Linked DNA regions of Macaca fascicularis. The protein of the gene in region 3 interacts with the protein of the main gene of each other region in a biochemical or structural test. Links are inferred from orthologs where the notes say so. Each region holds a gene or a part of one and is shown on either strand. Other genes may lie near its edges.

Evidence for each region.
Region 1: the proteins of PBX1 (region 3) and HOXB1 are reported together in a solved structure, tested with the Homo sapiens proteins (2 studies listed by BioGRID and IntAct, with this or other methods). The link is inferred for Macaca fascicularis from reciprocal best matches to the Homo sapiens genes PBX1 and HOXB1.
Region 2: the proteins of PBX1 (region 3) and PKNOX1 form a complex in vitro, tested with the Homo sapiens proteins (2 studies listed by BioGRID). The link is inferred for Macaca fascicularis from reciprocal best matches to the Homo sapiens genes PBX1 and PKNOX1.

The regions. Positions count from the first base shown.
Region 1 is NC_088390.1:58,186,950-58,191,270, reverse strand, and holds the start of HOXB1 (homeobox protein Hox-B1), read right to left. Parts: upstream 2,947-4,321; 5' UTR 1,731-2,946; coding exon 1,145-1,730; intron 694-1,144; coding exon 365-693; 3' UTR 1-364. UniProt on the Homo sapiens protein: Sequence-specific transcription factor which is part of a developmental regulatory system that provides cells with specific positional identities on the anterior-posterior axis. Acts on the anterior body structures.
Region 2 is NC_088377.1:4,023,228-4,026,875, forward strand, and holds part of PKNOX1 (homeobox protein PKNOX1), read right to left. Parts: intron 1,615-3,648; coding exon 1,443-1,614; intron 1-1,442. UniProt on the Homo sapiens protein: Activates transcription in the presence of PBX1A and HOXA1.
Region 3 is NC_088375.1:22,595,790-22,599,437, reverse strand, and holds part of PBX1 (pre-B-cell leukemia transcription factor 1), read right to left. Parts: intron 2,313-3,648; coding exon 2,177-2,312; intron 1-2,176. UniProt on the Homo sapiens protein: Transcription factor which binds the DNA sequence 5'-TGATTGAT-3' as part of a heterodimer with HOX proteins such as HOXA1, HOXA5, HOXB7 and HOXB8. Binds to the DNA sequence 5'-TGATTGAC-3' in complex with a nuclear factor which is not a class I HOX protein.

The DNA.
Region 1 (4,321 bases), on a different chromosome or scaffold from region 3:
AACTGAATAAACAGAAGTTGGAAGGGAAAGGAGAATGAATCCAGGAGGATGAGGCTGGCCCCCACCCCCACCTCATGTTGACACTGAGTTGATCCCCAGATCAAAGGCAGAAGCCCTTCCCTCTACCTTTGACAGGTTCCATGCCTCCCAGGCCACTGGTCGTGTAGGGCCCCCAGTCACCCAAGTCTGAGAAAAATGTTTCCCCATCCCCCCTCCTACTCCCAGGCAGCTCTAAACTGGCATTTCAGCCCTAGAGAGGATCCCCAGGCCAGTGAAGCCCAGGCCTGGGGTTGGGGAGAGCCTGGGATAGGGCTGGACTGGGGCGCTCCAGTGCCTGGAAGCCCCATTGGTGGCTAGGTTCAGTTCAGGAGGTGACAGAGCTGGGTGAGGCTTCTGGGGAGGTGCATGTTGACTGGTCTGAGGCATCTCCAGCCGCCTCCTTGGGGCAGCCTGGTGGGGCTGGGGGCACCCGACCTCCCTCTCGCTCGCGCTTCTTCTGCTTCATTCGTCGGTTCTGGAACCAAATCTTGACCTGCGTTTCATTGAGCTCCAGGGTGGCTGCGATCTCCACCCTCCGGGCCCGGCTCAGGTACTTGTTGAAATGGAACTCCTTTTCCAGTTCTGTCAGCTGCCTTGTGGTGAAGTTGGTGCGGAGGCCACTGGGCGAGCCCAGGCCGGGCTCTGACACCTTCCCTAGGGGCGGGGCAGGGAGAAAGCCCAGGTCAATTCTCTCACCTCTTCCTCCTTCCCCTTCCCTCCTCCCGGGGCTGGCTCTGGACCTCCATTCACCATTTTGCCCAAGTACAGTTGTCAAAGTTCCCAGGGACCCAGGTACCCCCATGGTGATCATCAAGTCCAGAGCAGCCTTCCCCATACTTCCATCCCCCGATGCACACCAGGTCCTGGGCCTGTGCTGGGTGCACAGATCAGGAAGTGGGGTGTGTATGGAAACTTACTCCTGGGGTGACCGGTTACATACTGGGTGAGGAGACCTCACCTGACCTGAGACATGGGTTGTGCTCTTACCTGTGTCTACCAGAGCCGCTGAAAGAGAAGAACCCAGCCCAGGCCCAGGACATGTCACTGCAGGGGAAGCAGAGATACTTTGGGCCCCGGAGAAGGGGTGGCCACATCTGAGCCCTACCTGTCTTGGGTGGGTTTCTCTTAACCTTCATCCAGTCGAAGGTCCGGGCCGTGGGGGTGTTAGGTTCTGAAGGGCAGGGCGCTTCCTTGTCCTCGGAGAGGAGATCAGCATAGGCCGGTGCAAAGCTCGCGGTCTGCTCGTTCCCATAAGGGGGATGCTGCGGAGGATACGGCCCCGGACCGGCTCCACCTGCTCCGTAGCCATCGGACAAGCCCCCTAGCTGGGCCCCGTAGCTGGTGGGATGAAAATAGCCTCCATCTCCTTCTGATTGACCCAGAGGGTAGTACTGAGAAGGCCCATAGCTGGGGCTGCAGGCGGCTGGGGCATACCCCGAGGGCGCGGAGCTGGGGAAGGGTACCCCCAGGGCCGAAGGCGGCTGCTGGGCGGGATAGCCGGAGTTCTGCTGAAACGCGGGGCTGGACAGCCCCCCACCGTAGCGGCCCTCGCTTGCATAGCTGTCAACCGCCTGAGTCGAGCTTGGGGGAAAGGAGGTTGGGGCGCTGTGGGCGCTGTGGGCGCTGTAGGCGCTGGGTCCCCGGTTACAGAGTGGGTACTCTAAGAAGGAGTTCATCCTATTATAGTCCATGCGTCAAGGCCACAGGAGGGTCGGCCCGTTTGGGGGAGACACCCTCTTGCCCTACAACCTTTCGGCAGTATGTCACAGCGCTGGGGCTCGAATCCATGGCCTGGCCCGCTCGCCTGGGCCAGCGCTTCCCTAGGAAGGGGGTAGGGAGTGGGGGTGAGGGGGCACATGTGATCTCTCCCAGGCCAATGGGCTAAGCGGGCCAGAGTTTGGCAGCCCCAGCGCCCATCCATCACCCCCCAAGCATTAGCATGACAAAGACACTTCAATCACCCTCAGCCCATCCATCTGAGAGCGACATGGAAGCGTCAAAAACATCTTTCTTCAAAGACTTTTGGAAAGAAGGGACTAGAGGGAGGGGGGAAAAAGTTAGGAGAATATTCAAGACTTTCCTTCCCTCCCAACCCCCAAGGCCTTCAATAGGCTCCTGGGTTATTAGATTGGGACAAATTCAAGCCAGCTGCCCCTCACTCTTCCTACCCCTCAAAGAAATCTTCCCCCCAAGTCTGTGGACCCGGAGGTAGGGAATCCAGCTTCCTTACTTTGCCCAGAACTCCCGAACCATGTTCCTTTCTTCCAATTTGTCTTAGGGTGATGGGCTAGGACAGCCGGGTGAGGTATGTTATCTTGGGCCAAATGGATTACTGTGTGGTAGGGCGGTTGGGGGAGGTGGTGCAAAAACACCTAAGGGTGTGGGGCAGGATCTAGAATCTAGAGGAAGAATTCATGAAGCCGGGGTGGGAAAATGGCATTTCAGGGAGCAAGGCAGGACTACAGAAATGTGGAGAAAAGGATGAGAAATGCCCCATCTTCCCTCTCTCTCTCTTTGCATAAATGTTCTGTCCTCATTCACACATCCATTTCTCTCCCTCAACCTCTCTTTATATTCTCTCTGTCTCAATCCATCTCTCTGTTCGTCCATCTTTCTCCATATTTATATTCGTTCCCTACCTATCCATCAACTCATCTCTCTAGATGTATTTATCCTCTCTCTAGCCATCCATAGCTGTAGCTAGCTCGCTCACTCAGACTTAAATAACTCCCTATATCTCTCTAGAGAGCCACAATAAGCACAGCCAGGTGATGTTTACAGGGAGGTGAAGAGGAGGGGAATTTTTTATTCTCTTCTTGAAGTGTTTAAAACTAGTAGAGACCTGTAATCTCCTGGTTCCCTCCTACCTGTCTCTCCTTCACCACCCTCCATCTCCTTCTAAAAAAAAAAAATTCCAAACCTCAGATGCATAAATTTAATACCAGTTAAATCTTAAAGATTACTCCAGATTTCAGTGATTTTTCTAGAATTGATAAAGGGAGTTTGGTTAGAGAGTGGGAAAATCAGGGTGGAGGCCCCGTGGCTCTGAATTCTAAGACTCCGGAGTGAGGAGTGGCATCTCGCCCCTTTTTGTTCTGTGTGGCTGTTGTGGAGGGACACGGGATGTGTCTTCTTCACTTTCTCAGACTCCAAACCCAGATGGGACTAGAAGAGAAGCCCTTAGGTAGAGCTCATTGATTCTCCTCCTCCAGGCAACTCGAGGGCAAGAGTTTGGCGCAATCCAACACCCACGCTCATTTGTAACCTGTCAGGGTGTCTGCCTGGTCGGAGGCCTGGGGCCGAAGCTAGGGCAAGTCCAGGAGGGCAAGAGTTCAGGGAGTGATCTCTGTAAACAATGAAGCTCAGGAGAGGAAAGGGAAGCAGGTGGGACAGGTTTAGGGAGGACCCTCAAAACTTCTCAGGTTTCCACACTCCAAAAAGGGCAGGATGAATATTCCTTCCTCTGCAAGGGACCCCAAAGTTGTCCCCCTCAGTCTGTGTCTTGCCCCTCCATCTTTGTCTCCCATTCCCTCTTGTTTTGCTTGACCTTGCCATAGCTGCCTCTCCTGCTTTCTGCTCTATACCACCAGCATCACACTGCCTTTCTCTTCTCTAGTAATTGTGGGCCTAGCCCAACTCTGTTTTTTTCGGGGAAAGGGTTTTGTTTTGTTTTTGGTTTTTGAGATGGGGTCTCACTCTGTCATCTAGATTGGAGTGCAGTGGCGTGATCTCCGCTTACTGCAACCTCTCTGCCTCCCAGTTTCAAGCAATCCTCTCACCTCAGCCTCCCAAGTAGCTGGGACCACAGTCATGCACCACTGGGCCTGGCTCATTTTTGTGTGTGTGTGTTTTTAGTAGAGACAGGGTTTCGCCATGTTGGCCAGGCTGGTCTTGAACCTCTGGCTTCAGTGATCTGCCTGCTTCGGCCTCCCAAAGTGCTAGGATTGCAGGCCTAAGCTGCTGCACCTGGCCATCACCCCCAACTCTGAAAGAGCTCAAAGCATTTCACAGAACCCCTGTCTCCTTTCCCTGATCATGTGTACTCTGCTTCAGACCCTGCTTCAAGCTGAGGGGGAGGGGGACCAGCTGGTAACTTCTTTAAGAGATGCAATGGGGGAGAGAGAGAATGTTCACTTGCCAAGGGAATGAGGGCAGACAAAAGAAAGGAAAATTGAGATGGGAGGAGGTGACCTGCAGAGGAATTGAAGAGAAAGAGATTATTGAGGTGAGAGCAAGCTTACTTCTTTCTATTTTACTTTTTTGGGGAGAAGATTTGCAGATG
Region 2 (3,648 bases), on a different chromosome or scaffold from region 3:
TATGGGACCAAGATGGCTCGAAGGGAATCCAGTGAAGGTTCCCTGACGCCGGATCTTTATGTACCCAGCTCTGAGAAGCAAACACGGTGGTTACGCTCTGGCAGGAGAGCAGACCCAGAGAGTGTGGCCTGCCCAGACCAAGCTGGCAGCGCTGCACAGGTGCCTCAGGCGCAGCTCGCTCAGAGCGATCCAGTGATGACGGAACCAAGGAGTTCTCCATTGCCTCCGGAGGGCACAGAAAATGCTGGATCTTGGAGCCCTGGCCCTGGGAGGAAGGCACCACAAATCACTGTCAGCCTCTAGACAGAGCTGTCTTGGAGAATACAACTCAAGTCTGTGTCCATGTCTATGATAAACCAAGGACAGACGCAGGTCACAGACATGTTGCCCGAACACCCCAGCCCTACGGACCTTTACAAACGCTGTGCAGAGAGAACCGAATCCCCGTGTCCATCTGGCATGGCGACTCAAATTATTTGATTTGATTTTTTTTTTTTTTGAGACACGGTCTCACTCTGTCACCCAGGCTGGAGTGCAGTGGTACAATCTTGGCTCACTGCAACCTCTGCCTCCTGGGTTCAAGTGCTTCTCCTGCCTCAGCCTCCTGAGTAACTGGGACTATAGGCGTGTGCCACCACGCCCAGCTAATTTTGTATTTTTAGTAAGGACGGGGATTTGCCATGTTGGCCAAGCTGGTGTCAAACTCCTGACCTTGTGATCCACCCATTTCGGCCTCCCAAAGTGCTGGGATTACAAGAGTGAGCCACCCCACCCGGCCTGTTTTATTTGATTTTTTTTTTTTTTTTTTTTTTTTGAGATGGAGTCTCGCTCTGTCGCCCAGGATGGAGTGTAGTGGCGTGTAGTGGTGCGATCTCAGCTCACTGCAAGCTCCGCCTCCCAGGTTCATGCCATTCTCCTGCCTCAGCCTCCTGAGTAGCTGGGACTACAGGTGCCCGCCACCACGCCCGGCTAATTTTTTGAATTTTTAGTAGAGTCAGGGTTTCACCGTGTTAGCCAGGATGGTCTCAATCTCCTGACTTCGTGATCTGCCCGCCTTGGCCTCCCAAAGTGCTGGGATTACAGGCGTGAGCCACTGCACCCAGTCTTTATTTGATTTTTAAAGGAAAGGGTAGGTTTGGCCTTGGGAGGCCAAGGAGGGAGGATTGCTTGAGGCCAGGAGTTTGAGGCCATCCTGGGGAACACAGTAAGATGTGTCTACACAAATAAAATAAATTAAAAATAAAAACTAACTAAATAAAAGATACCTAGAGAAGGCTGGAAGACGGGCATATCCACATTACACACACCATAAAAATTAGTTCTTTTAGAGTTGTATGAGTCTGTCCTTTAGCAGAACTACAAGCAGTCTACAGTTCTACTTAGAAGCCTAAAATTTCATAAACATATTTCACATTTTGAAAAATAAAATTTATTTCACTTACCAAATTGTCAGTTTCTGGATCTTCACAAAAGAAAGGTTTCCCTTCCTTCTCTTGCTTCCTTACAAAATTTTCGATGTCTACATCAAAACTGGCAGAAGTTGTGCCTTCGGAGCCCTGTGTAGATTGTTCACATTTTTCAAACAACAAAGCTAATAATGGAAATAGTGGATGCCTGAGGAGAAAAGACAAAAATAATCCATTTACGTTCTACATCTCCATGAGAATGTCTTTGCACGTACGCCTGCACTATTTCACCTAACACCTCTGCTGGTTGAAAATTCACATACCACACAGTTCATCCATTTAAAGTATGCAATTCAACGGTTTTTAGAGTTGCACAGTCATTGCCACCGTCAACTTTAGAACATTTCCATCATCCCTGCAAAGAAACCCTGTATCTAATAGCAGTCATTCTCCATTGTTTCCCAAACCCCAGCCGACTAGAACCTATTTGCTATCTCTATACATTTGCCTCTTCTAGACATTTCGTATGAATGGGAATCTTATAACATGTGACCGTGGTGTCTGGCTTGTTTCCCTCAGCATAATGTGTCCAAGGCTCACCAGTGTTGTGACAGGTATCAGTCCTTTTTTTTTTTTTTTTTTTTTTTTTTAGACGGAGTCTTGCTCTGTGGCCCAAGCTGGAGTGCAGTGGCCGGATCTCGGGTCACTACAACCTCTGCCTCCCGGGTTTAAGCGATTCTTCTACTTAGCCCCTCAAGTAGCTGGGACTACAGGCACCTGCCATGACGCCTGGCTAATTTGTTTTATTTTTTGAGACAGAGTTTCGCTCTTGTTGCCCAGGCTGGAGTGCAATGGCGTGATCTCAGTTCACCGCAACTTCTGCCTCCTGGGTTCAAGTGATTCTCCTGCCACAGCCTCCCGAGTAGCTGGGACTACAGGCACGCACCACCAGGACTCAGCTAATTTTGTACTTTTAGTAGAGATGGGGTTTCTCCATGTTGGTCAGGCTGGTCTCAAACTCCTGACCTCAGATGATCTGCCCACCTCAGCCTCCCAAAGTGCCAGGATTACAGGCGTGAGCCACCGCACCTGGCCTAATTTTTGTATTTTTAGTACAGATAAGATTTCGCCATTTTTGGCCAGGCTGGTCTCGAACTCCTGACCTAAAGTGATCTGCCCAACTCGGCCTCCCAGAGTCCTGGGATTACAGGCATGAGCCACTGCACCTGCCACTTCATTCCTTTTACTGCTAAATATTATTGCATTGCATGGAGATGCCATAATATGTCTGTTCATTCATTAGTTGATGGGCACGGGCACTGTTTCCAGCTTTTGGCCATGACAGGCAGTGCTGCTATGAAGATTCATGTACACGTTTTTGTGTGGACTTTTTTCATTTGTCTTAGGTATATATATGCATAGAAGTAGAACTGCTGACTTGTATGTAATTCTACGCTGAACTTTAAAAAAAAATTTTTTATTTTTTTTTTTTGAGATAGGGTCTCACTCTCTGTCACCCAGACTGGAGTGTAGTGGCACGATCTCAGCTGACTGCAACCTCAGCCTACCAGGTTCAAGTGATTCTTCCACCTCGGCCTCCAGAGTAGCTGGGACTACAGGAATGCGCCACCACACCCGGCTAATATTTATATTTTTTGGTAAAGACAGGGTTTCGCCATGTTGGCCAGTCTGGTCTAGAACTCCTGACCTCAGGTGATCCACCCACCTCGGCCTCCCAAAGTGCTGGGATTACAGGGGTGAACCACCGCGCCCGGCCTGATCGACTTTTAAATACTAAACCAGTCTGGCGTTCCCAGGAAAAACTTGACTTGGTCGCTATGTATTATTCTTTTCACATATTGCTAGAATTGATTTGTTAATATTGCACTGATGATTTTTACATCGAAGTTCGTGAAGGATACTGGCCTGTATTTTCCTGGTATTGTCTTTGGTCTTAGTGTCAGAGTGATGTCAATAAATTTATAGATTTATTTTCTAAAACTTTTTTAGGTATTAGAAATAACATCTTTGTGTGTGTATGTGTGAGACAGAGTTTCATTCTTGTTGCCCAGGCTGGAGTGAAATGGCACGATCTCAGCTCAAAGCAATCTCCGCCTCCCCGGTTCAAGCGATTCTCCTGCCTCAGCCTCCCAAGTAGCTGAGATTACAGACATATGTCACCATGTCTGGCTAATTTTTGTATTTTTAGTAGAGACGGGGTTTCACCATGTTGGCCAGGCTG
Region 3 (3,648 bases):
GATCACACTTCGAGTAGCTCTGGTATAGACAAGGGGCTCTTTAGGGATTTGGGGAGATACAGTCAACAGGCGGATTTCAGATAGATTTGGGTGTATGGGCAGCATATCTTTGTTTTGGGTCATGGGGTTTCAATAGCTTTTAGTGGATTTCAAAAGAATTTGTGACTTCAAAAAAAGACAATAATGATACAGTCCAAGAGGTATTCCCTGGCTTTGGGAACTAGGAGAAAGATTGAATAAATCATGTGATCCAACAAACCATGATTAGTAGATGGGGCAACTAAGACCCAAAAAGAAAGAGTGAGTTCCCTAGGATCCCACAGTTGACTCTTGTCAAAAATATGCTCCTTGCTTAATGCTCTTTCTATGATATCATATATTGTCTCCCATTGGACTTGTTTAACAATGGTAGCTTAGTTGCTTTGGGGAGAGACAGATGTGATGAGGAAGAAAGAATGGCATGACTTTGGCATGGGCAGAGGAAAGGGAAAGGTGACACAATATGTAAATAAGCATTTTAATGGACACACTATTTGTACCTTGAGTTTCCATAATGAAGGAAGTGAAGGTTGTGGGAACAGATCAGGATTTTAACTTGTATCCAGCTATACTACAAATTACCTCCAGGAGAATTCCTTTTACCTTCAACACGGAGTTGAAATTCTGAATTCCACACTTGGAATTCAGACAGCAGTAATTTAATTCTACTTTAAACGCAGAAGGTTCCAGGATAAAATTCACTGATTTAATATTTGCTCCTTGTTTGTGGTCCATACCTAGAAGCATTCCTGAAACATGCAGCAAGTATCAAAAAGCATTAATTCCCTTTTTTTGTGGACAAGGGGTCTAGATTTGGACAAGAATGGTGATAGCCCTAGAAAAAACTAGGCTACTTGAATTTCACCACTGACATTCCAGTTTCCCAGAATTGTCAAGACTGAAAATGACCTTCAGCTGGGTCAAAGCACCTAAGGAAGGCCCAAGTTAAAAAGGAGTCAATTCTTTCTGCTTTATCTGAAAGAATGTTTTCAAGGATATTTGCTGCTGTAAAATCATCTTAGTTTGTTGGGGAGGCTCGGCCAATCCCTTCATTGTCAATACCTTTTGTGGAGCTCTATATTCTGACTGGACCTAATTCTGTATAGGTAAACACAGGTTGATGGGATCAGCACCCTGCAGGGATCAACAGAAATCAGGATTCAATTCAAGGAGGTACAGATGCTTAGTTTATATAAAGGAGCATCTGCTTCATTTGAAAAGTGGTAAGTGAAATTTCTCACTACAGTAGTCTTCACTACTCCCTCCCCTCCCCAGTTTTAATGGAAATACCTGTACATTTAATTCTCCTGCATGTGACCAAATTCTAAGAAAAACTTTCTTCGACAGATTTCAGAACTATCACTATAGGTCTCAATTAGAAACCAGTGGTGGTATTTGAGGTTCAGACTGAATAAGAAGTTTGGGTGGATCTTTTGAGCGGACAAAATGTACGTACGTATAAATATTGCCTACTGTTCTGCTTCATATTCATATTGAAAACTCTAGGCCTATAACAATTTTATATCATGTATCTTTCCAAGTCAACAGACACCACCTGTTATGGTTATTGCTCTTTGGGGGAAGGGCGCATTCAGTGACATTTTATTCAACCATTCCAATGTAATCGCAGTGACATGTTAAAATTCCTACACTCCATCAGTTAGAGAGTCAGCACATCAAGAGGAGACATTTAAGTTCCTTTCATTTAAAAGGCTATATAACAACTAGTTCCATTCACTGACTCTTAAAGTTCCTGGGTTGGGCAAAAAATGGCTAAGGAATTGACTGAGTTTGAAAAAACAGCATGAGGAATGCAGGTAACTTCCCTAGTACACTTTAGACACCTCACCCATTTGAAGCAAAGGAGTGCTTGTTGGAAAGAACCCTAACCCTGTTTTTACACTGTACTCTACTTATTCTTCTCTTCCTTCTGCTGGTCCTTCTCAAGTTTTGCCAAGTACTTACCTAGAAACTCACTTATACACATATACATCAAGTGCTTACCTTGATATTTTAAGGCTACAGCTGATGGAACTTGCAAGGCATGAATGTCCAGTAAAGCAAGACCTCCAAGAGCCTGCCCTGGAGGCCCCACCATGGCCAGGCTACAGGCTGAGGCTTTTGAGGGGCTGCTTACCTGGGAGACTGTGATGCCACACTTCTTGGCTAACTCCTCTTTGGCTTCCTCACTGGGGTAAGGGTTGCTGAGATGGGAATAGAAATATTCATTCAGGATTTCTGTCGCTTGCTTGTTGAAATTCCGTCTCTTCCGCCTTTGTAAAGAGAAAGGAAACAATAACAAAAAGGCTCACACCAAATAAACATAAAATGGGAGAGAATAGAATCTACTTCTGGGAGAAGACAAATTTTTGAGCAAAAGGTGAATTGGAGCACATTTACTAAAAGGGGCTGGATGCCAAAACCATAACTAAAAGCATTTGCTCAATACTTCATTGTGTACCATCTGGGCACCAAACAGAAGAGTGGTCATGGATATTTTTGCAGAGTAGTGAGGAGCATAAAGTTTCAAAATTCGGGCCATCTTGGTTTGTTCACTCTGTCACCCAGGTTGGAGTGCAGTGGTGTGATCTTGGCTCACTTTGAACCTCCACCTCCCGGGTTCAAGCGATTCTCCTGCCTCAGCCTCTTGTGTAGCTGGGATTACAGGCACACACCACCACACCCGGCTAATGTTTGTATTTTTAGTAGAGATGGGGTTTCATCATATTGGCTAGGTTGGTCTCTAACTCATGACCTCATCATCTTCCTGCCTTGGCCTCCCAAAGTGCTGGGATTACAGGTGTGAGCCATTACGCCCAGCCCCATCTTGGTTTTGAATCCTGGGTCAATTGAATATCAGCTGGGTAATTTTGACCAGCTTCTTCAATGAAAGTGAAGAGGGTCATACTGACTTCACAGGGTGAGAGTAGGGAAGAGATGAGACCACACAAAGACAGCATTCAGCACAGCGCCCAACACATGGCAGGTGCTACTACAGCTTGGTCTTTCTTCTTACCACGTTCCAGGCACTGGGCCTTACCCCTCCCTCTTGGCAATCAATTCAAGTTATTCATTTTTCACAACTACTGAGGTGGATATGATTATTTGTATTTACCGATAAAGAACAGAGCTCAAAGGTCACTCAGCTGGTATGTAACAGAGCCAAGGTATTAATTCAGGTCTGACCGACAACAAAACCCAGTCTCTCTCTTCTACACAAATGAGCTCCTCACAATTACACAGAGATTCTGCAGCCATAAGTTAAAAATAAGTTATCATGTTCTTTCCATTCTATCCCCATGTAAATGCACGTAACATTCTTAAAAGGCATCTGGAGAAGAGGGCACAGAACTGACTGAAATTAACCCCCAACAGCTTGACCTCCCTCAGGAGATGAAAAGTGGCACTTCTTAAGCAAGAACAGCTGCTAAATGGTAAAACAAAAGCCCACAGAATTCTTTTTCACATACAGGTTGCCAAAAAGGAGAAAATCACTTTTTTTGAATAAAAGCATTTTTCTGCCTTAAAAAAGAAAAAGTGCTAATTGAACTAATTTAAAGTGAGAATCACTTTATCGCTTCCTGACAATGAAGGCCTGTGGATAGCTGA